Linked DNA regions of Caenorhabditis elegans. Changing the gene in region 1 together with any one later gene gives a genetic interaction. Each region holds a gene or a part of one and is shown on either strand. Other genes may lie near its edges. The genes, in order: par-5 and ksr-1.

Evidence for each region.
Region 2: of par-5 (region 1) and ksr-1, changing one enhances a phenotype caused by changing the other (phenotypic enhancement), as found in Caenorhabditis elegans (one large-scale study listed by BioGRID).

Annotation. Positions count from the first base shown.
Region 1 is NC_003282.8:11,817,372-11,825,427, reverse strand, and holds par-5 (14-3-3-like protein 1), read left to right. Parts: upstream 1-3,510; 5' UTR 3,511-3,530; coding exon 3,531-3,620; intron 3,621-3,668; coding exon 3,669-3,839; intron 3,840-3,904; coding exon 3,905-4,096; intron 4,097-4,143; coding exon 4,144-4,437; intron 4,438-4,539; 3' UTR 4,540-4,603; intron 4,604-4,647; 3' UTR 4,648-4,922; downstream 4,923-8,056. Other genes in the region: M117.3 (14-3-3 domain-containing protein), read right to left, coding at 1,490-1,780, 1,826-1,912; M117.1 (Major facilitator superfamily (MFS) profile domain-containing protein), read right to left, coding at 5,992-6,155, 6,208-6,314, 6,365-6,639, 6,861-7,169, 7,218-7,577. UniProt on the Caenorhabditis elegans protein: Required to modulate lifespan, in concert with hcf-1, acting redundantly with 14-3-3-like protein ftt-2.
Region 2 is NC_003284.9:8,271,596-8,279,651, reverse strand, and holds the start of ksr-1 (Kinase suppressor of Ras A), read right to left. Parts: upstream 4,484-8,056; 5' UTR 4,434-4,483; coding exon 4,328-4,433; intron 4,286-4,327; coding exon 4,215-4,285; intron 3,574-4,214; coding exon 3,397-3,573; intron 2,243-3,396; coding exon 2,152-2,242; intron 1,154-2,151; coding exon 1,007-1,153; intron 159-1,006; coding exon 1-158. UniProt on the Caenorhabditis elegans protein: Serine/threonine-protein kinase which positively regulates Ras-mediated signaling probably acting at the level of let-60/ras or/and lin-45/raf. Involved in sex myoblast migration.

The DNA.
Region 1 (8,056 bases):
TCGAAAAAGTCCCAGCCCTGGTGGGAAAATGGGAAGATAAATATGAAGAAATGATTTGCCCCAAAAGATTTGGAAAATGATACTGTTCTAAAATTATATTTTTTCGAAATTTTTTTATTCGCAAAATTAAATTTTTGAATTGCCACTAGGGCTCACAGTGGTGAAGGTACACTCAAAACTTAGCAAATGACACTGTTTTTTTAGATGTCTTTTTTTAGATTTTCTAATGAAAACCATTTAGTGAAAAAGTTAGTTATCTATTCAGTTGAGGAATTAATAACTCAAAGTGATTCTGGGATGTATATACAATACTGCTGCATTTCTCACAACTTTATCTCGACCACCAATTTTTTTTGATGAAAAACCATCAACTAAAAAGTTGTACTTCAGATTAAAATAATCAACTTTGTAGTTGACAACTTTGCCATAAAATTTTTTCCACGGAGATGTAAGCATCCAAAGTGAACTCGATTTTGGAACATGTTCAACTATACCTCAGGTTTTTGACTGAAATTGTGTTCTGAACATCCAAAGTTTTTTTCAGAAAATTTAAATTTCCCGCCAAAATGTTTTTTATTCAGAAAATTTAAGTTTCCCGCCAAAAAAGTATTCTTCAGAAAAGTTGAATTTCCCGCCAAAATGTTTTTTAGAAAATTTGAATTTCCCGCTAAAATGACTTTTTCAGAAAATTTAAACTTCCCGCCAAAATTATTCTCAGGAAATTTGAATTTTTCGCCAGAAGGTCTCACCACGATGTGTCTACAGTATAAAATCTACAGTAATCCTACAGTACTCCTACAGTACCTCTACAGTACCTCTACAGTACTACTACAGCACCCCGACCATGTCACTCCATTAACCCTAAACCAATATCCCTTTACCAACCGTGGACCGCACCTCCGGCGCGGCCCCCGACTTCTGGAGCTGAAAAGTAATTTTTCTGAAACTACCGTAATCATACAGTACTCCTACCGTATCACTATTGTAATACTACAGTACTCCGATTATATCTGTACACTAACCCCAACTCACAATCCCTCCAGAAGCTAAAACTTCGCAGACTATAAAGACTACATACAAACTATGAACAAACGGAATAAGCGCTTTGTATATATAGTAAATGATAATCCAAAACTTTGCACACTACAAAGCCTGCATACACTACAAACTCCGGAGTCCGGACAGACTAACTGTATTTTTTTAAAATATAAGCAATAATGATGCTGAGCATCAAAGGGATTGAGCCATCGTTAGGGATTGAGCGTTCAAGTGAAGGAGCACGCTAGTAAATGAGGGTTTGCCCCGAACCGACGCCACCCACCGAAGAAGACGACCTGGACTTCAAGTCCTCTCCACCCTCATTACCACCATCACTCGCTCCTACTTCAAAAAATGAATGCGTTTCAGCATATTCCCTTGTTTTCTCAAGAAAAAATCATAAGAAACATGTTTTTTCACTGCGAAAAAAAATTGAATATCCAGAAAAATTTCAATTATCAGCCTCTTCTCCTTCTTTTCCGTCGACACGCTGCTCGTGAGTACTCTTCAATAGATCGTAAAGTGTACGAGCACGTTTCAAGTTCGAGATATCGTACGAATCCAGTGAGCTCTTCATCTTCTCCAATTCGCGATGAGCACTATCAAGAGCACTCTGTGCAATTTCGTTGGCTTCTTTGGGAAGATTCAGGACATCGAAGTTTAAGGCGCTTGCATTGAGGGCAAGTCCAAGGCGAATTGGGTGAGTTGGCTGCATCTTGTCCTTAGCGATACCAAGAGCCTCCTGAAAGTCATTTCATTTACATCAAGAATTTAGTTATTCAAATACCTGATAAGCGATTCGCGACTTGTGTGCATGCTCTTCTCTGTTGATATCGTCGTATTGGACCAGATACCTAAAATGGTCGGCGACCATGCCACCGAAGAGAGCCTTAGTTTCATCATTTAGCGCATAGTCTCAAGCCAAACAGGCGGGGCAGTTCAAAAATAGTTTGATATATAGTTTGATATAGTTTGATGAATAGTGGCGTGGAGTACGGTTTCGCGGCAATTCAAATACTACTATTCTTGAGACCAGACGAATCGGACGATTAACGGCGGCGAGGGATTCGGATCGGGGGAACCCAATCTGTGGGACGGGCCACGCCCACGATCAAATTTTGCAACCTCCGCACGGTTCTATGGGCGTGGCCAATCCCCCGATGTCAACAAATTTTAAAAAAAACCTTCCCCGATTTTATAAATATTTCAGCTTGAAATCGCGATGTTCATTTGCGAACTCGAGGCATTTTCGAAACGTTAAATGTTCCCGCGCAATAATGCTCCGCTGAACAGTGCACGCTTTTTGTGTAGATTCATTTAAATATTCATTTTCCGTCAGATTTCATGTAGAAACCCAAAGATTCGCTCATTTCGCTGCTCGATCTTTTCTTTTTCTTCATTCAACCGTATATTATATGCATTTTTCGTTTAAACGTTTTTCAAAAATTTTTAAAAATTGCTTACAATCTTCTTTGTAAAAAGAATATATTTTGCAACCAATTTTTTCGATTCTCCATGGAAAACTTATCAATTTAAACTGCATTCACTGTTACACTGATAATGCTTTGAACGACGGCGGTCGGAGAACTTCCAACCGATTACTGTTCTCCAATTTCATGTTTCTAGAAAAAAAGAAATTTCTGTCGTTTCATAACATGTTTTAACACGCAGAGCCTTTTTTTTTCGAATGAACCGCCATTTTCTTTAAAGGCGCAAGCTATTCCCTCTGCGCGATATTTCGCCGCGAAAAAAGAAGCCCCGCGAAAAAACGTATTCGAACCGCGGAATTTCCGCGAATTTGTTGCTGGTTTCTTCTAGAATTCAACGATTCAATGCTCATTTCATCACAATTTTTTTTTGTAAAATTATCCTTCTCGCTTTTATGCTCCTCTTGCCCTCAATTTTCTGTCTAAAAGCTATCATTTCCTCTGATTTCTTCCTCGATTTTCAAATGTTGGCCCAAAATAGTGATTTTTTCTTTAATTATATCCTAATCCCCACCAACACGATTTAGCAATTCTCGAAAATTATTTTTTTGCGTTGTTCAGGTAAAAGTCCTGACGAAACCTCCTGAGTTTTGTGTAACGTGCTCACCGAAAGATTAGTGTGCTTGCTGCGCCCGTTGTCACCACTGCCATTCATCCTTCTATTCCCGTGTTTTCTTATCAAATGCCCAAAAAATCTGAAATTTTTTGTGTAGACAATGCTATATATGAGGAGCGAATGTGTGCGCCAGAGAAAAAGACGGACAGACACAAATTGAGTGAGTGTGCGTTGCCCACTTTAGTTGTTGTCATGCGACGGCGGCGGCACGCGCTCTCTCATCGGCCGGCACTGCTGTCCATCGATTTTTCTTCTTTCAAACGTCGTGCGGGCTGTTTCGAATGTTCTAGGGCTCTCCGTTTCGATTATTACTCTCGCCTATGTTCTTCTCTTTTCGTTCTCAATATTTCATTATAAATTTTGTTTCAGAAGACTTGCTCACTGAAAAAATGTCCGATACCGTGGAAGAGCTCGTTCAACGCGCCAAGCTTGCCGAACAAGCCGAGCGATACGATGATATGGCTGCCGCCATGAAGAAAGTAAGATAAAACATCATTTACGGAGGTTTCAAATTTACTATTTTTCAGGTGACCGAGCAGGGACAGGAGCTTTCCAACGAAGAGCGTAACCTTCTCTCTGTTGCCTACAAAAACGTCGTCGGAGCTCGCCGTTCATCGTGGAGAGTTATCTCTTCCATTGAGCAAAAGACCGAGGGATCCGAGAAGAAGCAACAACTCGCCAAGGAATACCGCGTCAAGGTAACTACACCAAGCAAGATTTTATTAATTTCAAGAATTTTAGTAACTTATTTACATTATTTCAGGTTGAGCAAGAACTCAACGACATCTGCCAAGATGTGCTCAAGCTCCTCGACGAGTTCCTCATTGTCAAGGCTGGAGCTGCTGAGTCGAAGGTCTTCTATCTCAAGATGAAAGGAGATTACTACAGATACCTCGCCGAGGTCGCTTCAGAGGATCGCGCTGCCGTTGTTGAGAAGTCCCAGAAGGCTTACCAGGTATTTGAAAATAACTAAATTCTTGATGTAAATGGCATGACTTTCAGGAGGCTCTTGATATCGCTAAGGACAAGATGCAGCCAACCCACCCAATTCGCCTTGGACTTGCCCTCAACTTCTCTGTCTTCTACTACGAGATCTTGAACACTCCAGAGCACGCTTGCCAACTCGCGAAACAGGCTTTCGATGATGCTATTGCTGAGCTCGACACGTTGAACGAGGATTCGTACAAGGACTCGACCTTGATCATGCAACTTCTACGTGACAATCTCACTCTCTGGACATCTGACGTTGGAGCTGAAGATCAAGAGCAGGAGGGAAACCAGGAAGCTGGAAACTAAGTACGATTTCAAAATGTTTTATTGCCATTATATAAAGCTGACCTTTTTCCTCTTTTCCTTTCACATCAAATCTTGCTTCGAAAAAATAGTTTCGGTTTTCAGAGAGCTGAACTCCGTTCTCTTTCCTCGCATCTCTTCAACTTTCAGTTATCCTCCAACATTTCCGGTACGTTAGCCGAGAGAGTTGCCTAATCACCGTTTTTGTTTTAGACTTAACGTATTCACCAATACTCCATACAACACTGCGCAATAGCATCATGAAAGAAAATTCGGTCTTCAAGTGCTCTAGATCTCCAAGCCATAATTCTCTTCATGCTCTATTTCGCTGTAATTCACTCCGTCACTATTGTCATTCCTAAAATGGCGTATTGTTCTATGATTATTATGTGCTGTAAAGTATAATGAACCCCCATCTTCCATTTTTCTCTTATTATCCCCGATCTTTATTTTTAGATCTTTTTGAACATAAATGTTTGGTGAACTTTTCCGGTTGTCCGAATTTCATCACAACTTTCCAGGAGTTTTTCGAGTAATGGAATGGAATTTATTTTCAGATTTCGATGAAGGAGCATAAATAGGATAAAACATTTGCATTAACCTCTTAGAAGGTCTCAACACGAAAAATTAAATGAAATGTGAAAAAGTGTGCGCCTTTAAGCTGCCGAAAATTTTTTGATAGTTTCTTCCACGATTCGTTAAAAATTAAGTGTTTTATGGTAACATTTGAGTGTTCTTTTGAAAATAAATATATTCTTTGTCGAAAAACTATGAAACATCGATAAAAATTCCGCAGCAATAGAAGTTTAAAATTACAGTACTCTTTAAAGACTCACACCTTTTTGCGTTCAACAAATATTAGACGTGTCGAGACTAAGTACCGTACTTTTGGCGCAAAAAGCTCAAAATTTCGCTCCTGGGCAATATAATTTTCGGAAAAAAACTTAATTCTGGAGACTTCATGTGTTTTCACAGATCATGACGAGACCGATTGAGAAACATTTGGAAATACATTTTTCTTCAATATATCTTCAAAGTGGCCGATTGTATGTGATCATACGGAATAACGATGGATGTGTTTTGTGCTTTTCGGCAGATTTCGAGCTTTTGAGCCAACAATTTTCAGCGTTGTGGATGAAAAAACATGTCACGTTGTTTAATCAATTTAAAATCTTTAAAATGTAATGACTATTTTTATGGACTGCGCAGTTGCCCCATGTTGAAAAAAGATGTCAATTGCAATTACATTTTATTTTCCGTATAAGTTAAATTCAATAACCCAAAGTTCAAAAAAGTACTATTTATGAGTATTATCACGTGGTGTCAGAATGTCCCATGTCGGTTTGAACTTCGAAATATGCGGGAGTTGAGACGTAGACTGACGTCACATTTTTCTGAGAAAAAGTTATCCGCATTTTTGTAGATCATACCGTTATGGGGCAACCTGACACCACGTGTCTTATTCGAGATCCATATTTGAGTGAACACCCGGATAAGCTGGTAATCGTCTTTTCTTTTCAATTATGTGAACACTGATATGAATAATTTATTAAATAATTAATTGATTGAAGTTTCGCAGGGAAGCTGAGGCTTGCTGAGCTCTAATTCAGCGTTCAACACAAAGTCGGCTGGTTCTGAACGAGCTAGGAGAACATAGACTGTGTTGGCTACTGTAAGTGTTAAAGCATGGATCAGGAAGTAGCTGGTCCATGAGAGTTCAGCTGAAAGTGTTGAAAAAGGTTTAGTTTAGAAAGAGAATGAATTGATACTTACAATCTTCACTTCCCGGAAGCACAAGAAGAGAAAAAAGAACAGGTTCGAGCAGTGTTGCTAACGATTTGAACAATTGAATATACCCGATGACAAAGTAAGAGAATTGTCTGAAAATGTTCATTCTTGAAATTTCAAATTAATTTTTAAATCGCCTTACCTTGATATCAAAGCGGCGCCCTTATAGAATCCTCCACAATTGAACCCGAATGAAGCCTGATAGAAAGTGATGCAGATGACGTGTAGATATGGATGCTCGCGTGGCAGCAAGACTACGAGCATGAGAAAAAACGCGGGTACTTGCAATGAGATCGTGTTGAATAACCGCAACTTTGACTTTTCCGGCAGTGTACGAATACGATCGGACGCGATACCGGCGAATACTCGAACACCGATGAATAGATAACCTTTCATGGAATTCAGCCATGCATTAGCCTGGAAATTCACAAAATTGAGGGCAAATATCGGTGCAATATCGGTCTTTATTGCAATTTCGTGAAATTTTGACATGGCACTTTAAAGGCACACGCTGTTTTTCTCAGTGGGTCTCGCCACGCTCTCAACCATTGTAGTCGCTACAGGTACCAAATGTCATAGAATTGTTCATTGGATGTGGAAAATTAAGTTTGCCCCGACGTGCCTGAACACAAATTTACCTGAATATCCATTCCGAGGTATTGATAGTATTGTGCACCATATACAAGAAATACAAAACTGGCAAAAATATCGGCGAACCCGGCAACCCACACGGCCCAAACTGACTTGTCGGTGAGAACTTCTCGATACGGAGTCTTTTTTGTCTTATCTCTCTTGGTTCCTCCACCAATGTGTTGAAGCTCGTGATGTGTCATTAGGCAATGATCTTCCGGATCGTCACGATAGAACAAGAACCAGATGATTGTTGAGATGAAGAGAATTATTGAGAGAATATAATAGATAGGTCGCCAGCCAACATTTGATGTTGTCTGAAATATTATGAATTTTAAATATACCGTCTCAGTGCAATAACCTACCCATCCTGCCAGTGGCAACTGAATTACAGCTCTTGCCGCAGTGAATCCACTCAACGCAGCCAGTGACATTCCTACTTCTTTGATAGGCGACCACTTTGAGCACACGTATCCGACAACTCCAAAGTCAGCAGAGTAGAGGATTCCTTGGAATATCCTGAATACAAGTGCTACATGGTAGTTCGTGTCAAGAGCCCATGGCATGAAGGCAGTGACGACGGCACAGAGCAAACTGGCAAATGTGAGGACAAGACGGGGTCCATATTTTTGCATTAGCACATTCTGAGGATACATTCCAATGAGTGAACCAATTGCCATCGCTGAGATCAGACTGGACTTCTCTTCTAATGTGTAGATGTAGATCTGAAAATTTATTGTTGATGCTAAGGTTCAAAAATGTTACGCCTGAGTTTTATGGGCTAGAAGACCTGATTTAATGTCTAAGAACCAGAGTTATGCGGACCATTTTTGAGTGAAACTTTTCATGTAAATTTAGAAAAACACTGATGAATAATTTGACAAATTTCAAGACTAAATGTAAGTTTCTCTAAAATTCTCCAAAAGTTGCTATACGGCAAGGCACATTTCGATCAGCATATTGCGACGTTGACACAGATTTTGAATAACTTGTAAAGTGTACTACTACGTTTATATAGGGCTTCCATGGCTTGCCTCAAGCCGGCATGAAGAAAAAGTTAAGATGTGTTCTAGTAGAAGACATGGGTAAAGGCGGTAAGCAGTCGGAGGTCGCCTTAACGTCCGTCAGGAAGGCGTTTTGGCGCCTACATGGAAGCCCTGCGTTTTTAAACCAAAGTTCACCTAAAAACATCGTCTTTAAATTG
Region 2 (8,056 bases), on another chromosome or scaffold:
GCACTTCTCCCAGGCGTTTAGAAACCCAAATCCTAAAGGTCTTTGACAAAAATGACAAACTGCATCACCGCTAAACCGGAATTTTGTTGATCTGTGCCATTTGTGAGGAATTGCATGTACAAGCCGGGATGATGTTTTTGGAGATTTTGGTGTCGTAGCTAGAACATTTTTCACTTTAATAACTTTTTCTGTTTTTTTATTCGAATGTGATATTTAAATGAAAACTTTTTTCAAAATTAACTAGTACTAACGTGCCAAAAAGGCCAAATTTCGTCAAAAAGTTTTGCTTCTTTTATAAATTTTTCAAAAATATTATTTTACCTTCAATTATTAGTAAAACATTTAAACTAGTATGTTTATCACACATTTTCTTGTTCCGTCTGAGATTTTGAGCCAGGATTACACTGAGTAAATTTTCAACGGCTGATTTTTACTTGAATTGCCGTATGATGGTATGCATAGAATTTTTTTAAAGCCAATTAGTCTCAAAGATGAATAACCCTTTTTTAGAGAATTTGAAACGCTTTGTCGCAAAAAAGTTTTTTTCCATCCCGAAAATCGTTGTAATTGTCTCAAATAATGAAAAGTGTACCAACAAAAATGTTAATTGTTTTGCTTTCTGTTTGTAAAAAAATATTTTATCACTATTTGCAACAATTCTTCTGCAAAGACCCCTAGTTTTGAATTCAGTTTTTGTACATAATAGTATCTCAAACTTATCAGTAATTCAAAATTCTATCATCAAATATTACTTGCATTTTCAACCAAAAGCCTCAACTATCCAACTTTTAGAAAGCTGACAGCTTATCCCACTCCTCAATGTTTTTGGCAAATTAGTCAGTCTGGTCTTCCAACTATTAACTAATATTCTCACGCTAAGCATTTGTCACATGTGCGTCTCATAAAGTTTTCATTTGACACTTGCGAGAATTGCTTCAGAATGAATAATTGCAAAACCGCAGTGCAAAATTTTTGTTTGCTATTTTTTGAAAGTTCAAAAACTAACCAAATCCCATACTAGATGACTGAATCATTTTGGCACTTGTGACTGAAAGTGAAGGAACGTTAAACTTCGGACTTGGCGTAACAATTGCTGGTGTTGACTGTCCTGACGGCTCGTCAGTGGATCCACTTGATGTGCGACTGTGATACGCTAAAAATAATTGAGATTTAGTTTATGTAGATGAACTGATGTTTGTTTTGAATTGATACCGTATATCATTTACATGAACGTTTGCAAAAACTGAATGATTAAACATCACATGATCTAATTCACTTTTCCTGACAAAATTACATCAATTGTATTAATTGTACATGTTTTAAATAAAATAAAACAATTCCATAAACATTTTGTGAAAAGGTTTCATTCTAAGAACAAATTATTTTCACAACATTTTTTCGAAGTAGATGAACCATAGAGAACATTTGAAAGATGTGCGGTATTTCTATGTCAAATTTGCTGGTTCAATGTGTATCATTACACTACATTTTAAAAATTTTAATTTGAATAAAAGAATAAGGTTGATTTTTTAATTCTCAGGCTGCTTAAAGTATTAATTCTAAAATTAACAAATAAACCGAAAACGACGTTTGAAGGCGGACTCCGATCTGCGGGGGAAGTTTTTCAAAACCATTCCTATGGTACAAAAATAATCAAATATACCATAATAAAATTATTCCAAAAACTTTGGAAAGTTTTTTTTATTTAAAATCAAAAAGCTCAATACTAAATGGTCACCAGTTTTTGCGGAAGTCCTCCATCATAAAATTTTCCATTTTTTATTTCAATTACATTCAAAATATTCAAATTTTAAAATGTATGGGGTTTGAACATTTGACAGTGATTTAAATTTTCAAGAAGTGGAGCAAACTCAGTATAAAATATGCTTCAAAATTGTTTTAATAAAAACCGTCTTGTTTTTTTTTAATTTTGCAGTTACCATCTCGGGATTGATTAAAGTTAAATTTTAAAGTTTGATTAAAAAATGTCAAATTACTGGTTTTGAGACTATAAATTTTTATGAAAATAACTAGAAAAGTAAGGAATTTTGAGAACATTTTCAAAAAATAACAGTTGCAAAATTTTCGTGGCAAGAATTATTTTCTTCTACATTTTACTTAATACAAATTTTCAAATTGCCGCACACTTACCGTTCCAGTGATTTTGTAAAATCACTGTAGATTGAAGCAACTTTCGTTTGGTCTCCACATCAAGACGACCACGATCCGCAAGCGATCGCAACTGAAATAAACTTTTATGTTTGGGTTCAAATGTTCAGAAGGCGGAGCACAGAGAAACTCGGTTAAAAGTAATGAAACGAGCAATAGAAGTTTGATAACATGCAGACAAGAGTGAAAACAACTCGTAGAAATGTAACAGGTGTTGTTGGAACACGAATGACGTTACCGAGTATACGGAGGCAATGCAAAAAAACAAAAACGTGTATGCTTTGGATCGCTAAAAACAATGAATGTTCCAGAAATGCTTCAGCATAGTTGTTCTCACAAAAAACATTCATTCAAAATCAACTCTAATATTTTGGCCAATTATCATATGAAAGGCCACTTGAAGTTTTCAAGTTTTGTTTCGAATTCAAATTTAACAATTGATTTGTTCAATGTTGTTGTAAATTAAATGGTAAAGTTATCTTAAAAAATTTGACAAATCAAGTTTTAAAAAAATCTTCAATGAAAAAAAGGAAATTTTTAAATCTGAAAAATTACCAAACTAGTTGATTTGTCAGATAAAAGTAAGACAAATTTCATTTCGAAAAACACTTCCTGCTGCAAAATGACTAAATGAAAAGTCGAAACTCAAATTCAAACAATTACGAAATGAGATGATAAAAATCAGTCAGATACATGACTTATGCATGTGCTAGCTGAGAGAAAGTTCGTGAGTCTTAAAAAACAACAATGAGCAGAATATCAATAGGTAACAATTAACCTAATCCTCTTTTTCTGTTTACTCTTCTTTTTTTGGATAACAAATTAGCTCACAAAAATCAGGAAAAAAACGGAGAGAGCTGCAGTTTTCTGGCCTCTAGAGAAAGAGAAGAGTGGGAAAGGAAAGGAGAGAAATGCAGAAAGTAGAAGGTGAAAAGAAAGAAAGAAGAGACGGAAACAGAAACGGAAAAACGAGAGGGAAAGAGCGTCAAAGCGCACTCCCAAACACCCCAAACCAATGGGAAGCGTAGAGGGAAATGAAAAGAAGTTTAAGAATAAAACGATAATGTTGAAGGTTGTGACCCGAATCAGCAGAAAGACATTTAGAAGGATATAGATATGCCTAGAACCCGATTTGTGAGTGTTTGTATGTTTCTGTTAGGTGTAAAATCAGGAAATGATGTGTGAGAAAAGAGAGAAAAGGTAGAGCAAAAAAGAGAAGGATCAAACCTCTTGGTTAGTGATGCTGAACAGAGCATTGAAATCGGTGATCGAGCAAATCTCCAAGTGCCGAATGTTTTGTGCGCTGAGCCCGACAAATGTGAACCAAATGGCGTTGATCTCACGCTTCTCGCGATCAATCAAACCAATTTTTGTCATTTGATAAACGGCCGAGAATATTTTGCGCTGTAAATTGAGAATCATTGGAATTTAGTTGACGTCAATGAAAGATTTCAGACCATTTGTTTCAGGTTGTTTCACCTTTTCATCTGTCTCTGATATCTTGATTACTAAAATTCGTAGAAAAAAAGAGTTACATTCACTTAAAGTTTTTAAATCTATTTTTTAAAAGCTTTGATATTTTGATATTTTTTCATATTCAAAATATCATAAACTCACTAAATTTAAAACATTTGAAAATCAACATTTGTTTGAAAGTAAGTTTCAGTTTTTCAAATATAACGATTAGCGTTTCATGCACGAAGTTGTGCATCTAAATTTTTAATTTTTTAAATTTATTATCAAAATACCATTATAGAATTTAATTATACAAATAAACTTTACAGTATAAACGGAAAACGTCTAGAAAAACGTTTAGTACCACAGATTGGTTTACCACAAAGATCTAAAACAATTTGGACTGAGGTGTCAATATATGTATAGTGTATTTTATGAACAAAACTTTAAAGCATCTTAAAAATTTTTTCTGCTGAATGAAGACTAGTCTGTCTTGAATTCATTTATTTACAGTTTATAAAACAACGATGCTCACGAATAGGAGAAGTTTGAATTTTTACAAAAGTTGTTTTTTTTTCAAAAAAACTTACTTCTACACTTTTTGCATCTTCTTCGTATGATGAAGTCAAAAATCGATTGATAGTGGTAAGTTTCAAACATTCTGCAACTTCGAATTGTTTTTTTTTAAATTTTTTTTACTAACCCTTCAAATTATTTATAGCCTGTGTCTTTATATCCTGTGCGATTCCTGCACCAAACTGCGGTAGATTACTGTATCCCGCACGTGATGCAACTTGGGTTTGCATCATTCTGTGTATTGATATTATTGGTTAGTTTTTACCTTCTCCGGATCTTTTCCCTGAAATAAATCTTTCGTTGGTTGAGCACAACGTTCAAAAGGTTGCCAAGAAAAAACAGTGCTGGTTTTTGGTCAACTTTTGGAAATCCCCGGTGCAAACGGAGCACGCTGTGAGCTCACACGTGCGCCACACTCTTTTTTGCTTGGTTTCTCATTTTGTGTATGTGTGTGTGTCGTCGCAATTATCAAATGGCTCCCTGTGAGCTCATCCTTCGTTTATGTATGTGTGGTAGTGGGAGCAGGGCAATACGAATGTATTTGGTGCTTTAGAAAGGCGTTAAATGACTAGAAAAGCAAACGAGCAAGTAATATTGAAAAGTGCCGAGTTTTTTCTGTTAGTATGGTTTGCATTCGTACTGTAAGGGAGCAAGACAATTAGAGAAAATATGTGTATGCCCCACAGTACAGTCAGAAATTTCAATTCATGAGTTAGTAAAATCTACAATATTTTCTTCCTACAAATTCCATCACAATTGGATGTTTACAATTCAAAGTCAAATTGCGATGACCAATATAAGTATGCTTACAGTTTGTTTACTATTACAACATCATCTACTCAAAAAAGGTGTGTATTAACCTTCTAGAAAAGTCGAAATCGTCCGGAAAGTAAATTAAAAGCTTTCGGCGGCTTTCTGCCATCGAAATTGTGAAGGTTGCGTGGCGAACAATTATGAGACAGGTTATGTACATTACTCAATTTAGAAGTGACGAGAAGAAAAGAAGAATTGGTATTTTCGACCACATTTTCTTTTCCGGTGGTTAGATTAGACTTATTACATCACAATGTCCCGATTTTTTTCAATGGCATTCTACTTTTATTTTGGCTTCTTTTGTTTCTTTAATTAGAATACTGTTCCAAATCCAATAATTGTACTCTACCAATATTAAATGTGTTTTTTTATTGAGTAGAAATATTCAACTATTTCACTTAAAAAATCGATTATCCTTTATCATCACTCCTAAGTAATTATAGTTTATCAATTTGAGTTTTACATTTTCCTAGCTTTGCGTATTAAAACTACCACAAATACAAAAATTAGGAAGCTTAACTTTTCTTTCTTTTTTAATTTTTCGCTTTCACATGAAATACCGAACAACAGTATGGCGCTTAAAAATTAAGCAATGCCGACCGAAAAGAGTAGTTGTGAGAAAAAATTGCCATAAGGCTTTGGTCGGAAGTTAAAAGAAACGTTGCATTCAAATACTGTTCAATATATTGGAGAAAATAATGCTAGAATGCTGAGAGTTGTGGAAAGAGAAAGAGGAAGAAAGATCGGCGTGCAAGCAAACAAACTGTTTGAACGTGATGAAGAGAAAAGGGGAGAACGGTGTGGATTGACAGTAGGAATAGTAGGAAAGGACGCAAAAATGTCGGGAAGACGGGAGGATGGGGGGAATAGTGTATGAATAAGAGAGAGAGGAGACTGTATGTCTATGGGGTGAGAGAAAATGGTCCGCAATGAGAAGACCACAACAGGTGTTCAAAATGTTGCGTAATCAACTTAAGAGTAGGTCAAGATTCATACCAGGAATGCATTGAACAAGCTTTTAGTTCCTGGTTTGCTGGCAGATCACAACTAATTTAGTGTAACATCTCGGCAAAGTCAACATTAAAAATGTTGTTCCTGCTCGATGAAAATTTTGAAAGTAATTATGGGTAGTTTGTTGAACGTGCCAAAAACTATGGTAAAGTTAGCCAAAAATTAGGGTAAAATATAAGTACTGAAGTAATAGCAATTACGTTTTAAAAGACGACTAATGGACCAAAATGTTTAGACTGTGTTTTAAAAAGAGACTTCTCAAAAAATGCTGTTTAAAATGAAAACCGATTGTATTTAGCAGAAAAATTTAAAGTTTACAAATTTATACGCGTCGCAGCGGACAACAAACATTTTTTGTTGAACTATCACTATTCATTGATTTTAGTCCTTTATTACAAATTTTATGATAAAAGACGTGAATTTGGATGTGCATTGACAGGCAACCAATTTCGGTTTTTCGAATGGACATTTACTAAAATTCTCCTGTTTTCTCTATTAGTATTGTCTCAGTCTGTTTACATTTGGAAACCCATAGCTTGTTTATTTTTTAATTTTATGGAAAATTGTTATCAAACAAAAATGTACAGTATCTTTATCTACATACTTTTAATTGTCCATTTTCGGAAAACTAGAAATCGATTCAAGACATAACTTGTCAAAATAAAGTAATTGAGCGGAACACTAATAGAAAAAAAGAAAACACAAAATATACAACTAATATATGCAATAAAGAGTGAAAATTAGGTTAAACTGATTTTGAGCCCCTGTAACACATAAGAATGACATAACAAGATATGATGTAGATTTTGACTTTTCTCTTCAAAATTTTGAACTACCATAGATCCTTCTTGTTAGGAAAATATGATCATATTTTCTTTTAAAGTTTCAAAAAACGTTGTGAATTTCTGCTTTCAAAATACTACTTGAAAATTAAAATAGCTTTAACATAATTGAACACTTTCTATTAATGAATAAATAAGCTTTCGTCCTCCGGAATTCCGCTGTGAAAAAATGTGTCCAATTCTAAAAAATATGAACTCATGAGTTCCTTATTATTATTTTTGCATGATTTCCTCATGACACAGTCGCGATAACTAACCAAATTGAATTGCGATCTCAAATCAGAACATTGAGCGAACAAAAGGTGGAAAGCCTAAGAGAATGCATTCCTATTTCGTTGGCTCCAGTTTCAGAAATCCATGCCATTTTGGCCGGAAACGTGCACTCAAAGTGGTTGCCGCTACCAGAAGTCTATTGTGTGCGTGTATTGTGTACATTTTATATGAGAATGTGATATTGAGCTTTAATGAAACATTGAACTCATTTTGAATTTGAATGTTGAATTGAGTATTTTGTAAGAGAGCAATTTGGTCATTTCATATTCTGAATAACAAAAAAATGCGGGAGGTTGCTTACAGGCTGAGATCAGAATCCCAAATAATAAGGAAAGTTGATACTTTAATATTTTATTCATATAAGGGCATTAAGCAATGTTCAGTTGTTTTTTACTGCATTTGTAAAAGCAAAAAAAGACAAAAATGGGATATGCAAAAATAAACTGAAAATAAGAATTCTGAAAAATTGTTCTGAAAACTGCAAATGGAAAATTATTCTGAAGCTTTACATTATTCTGAAGCTTTGTTGTGTTTGAACATTATTGTAAAATTGGAATTTTGGGCGTTACAAGGTTTGAAAACATTCTGGGGAAACGAAACCCATAAGTAACCAATTTTTGCAAAACGATGAGATTAGACATAAATAAACATTAAGCTGGAAACATTACTAACCGTTGATTTAAAAAATTAGGAAAATGTTCTTAATTTGTTATTATTAAAAATGAAGATAATACGTGTGATCTGGATAAAACCAGGCTGAACGAAAAACATACACATTTTTAACGAATGTATATTTTACAAACTTAAATTTGGAGATTTATGAAAATAGTTTATATAGAACTTCTAAAAATTTAGTCCACTCATATGCTTGCCTCATCATGCACTTTGCCAACTTCATAATCCAAGAAGCCCAACTA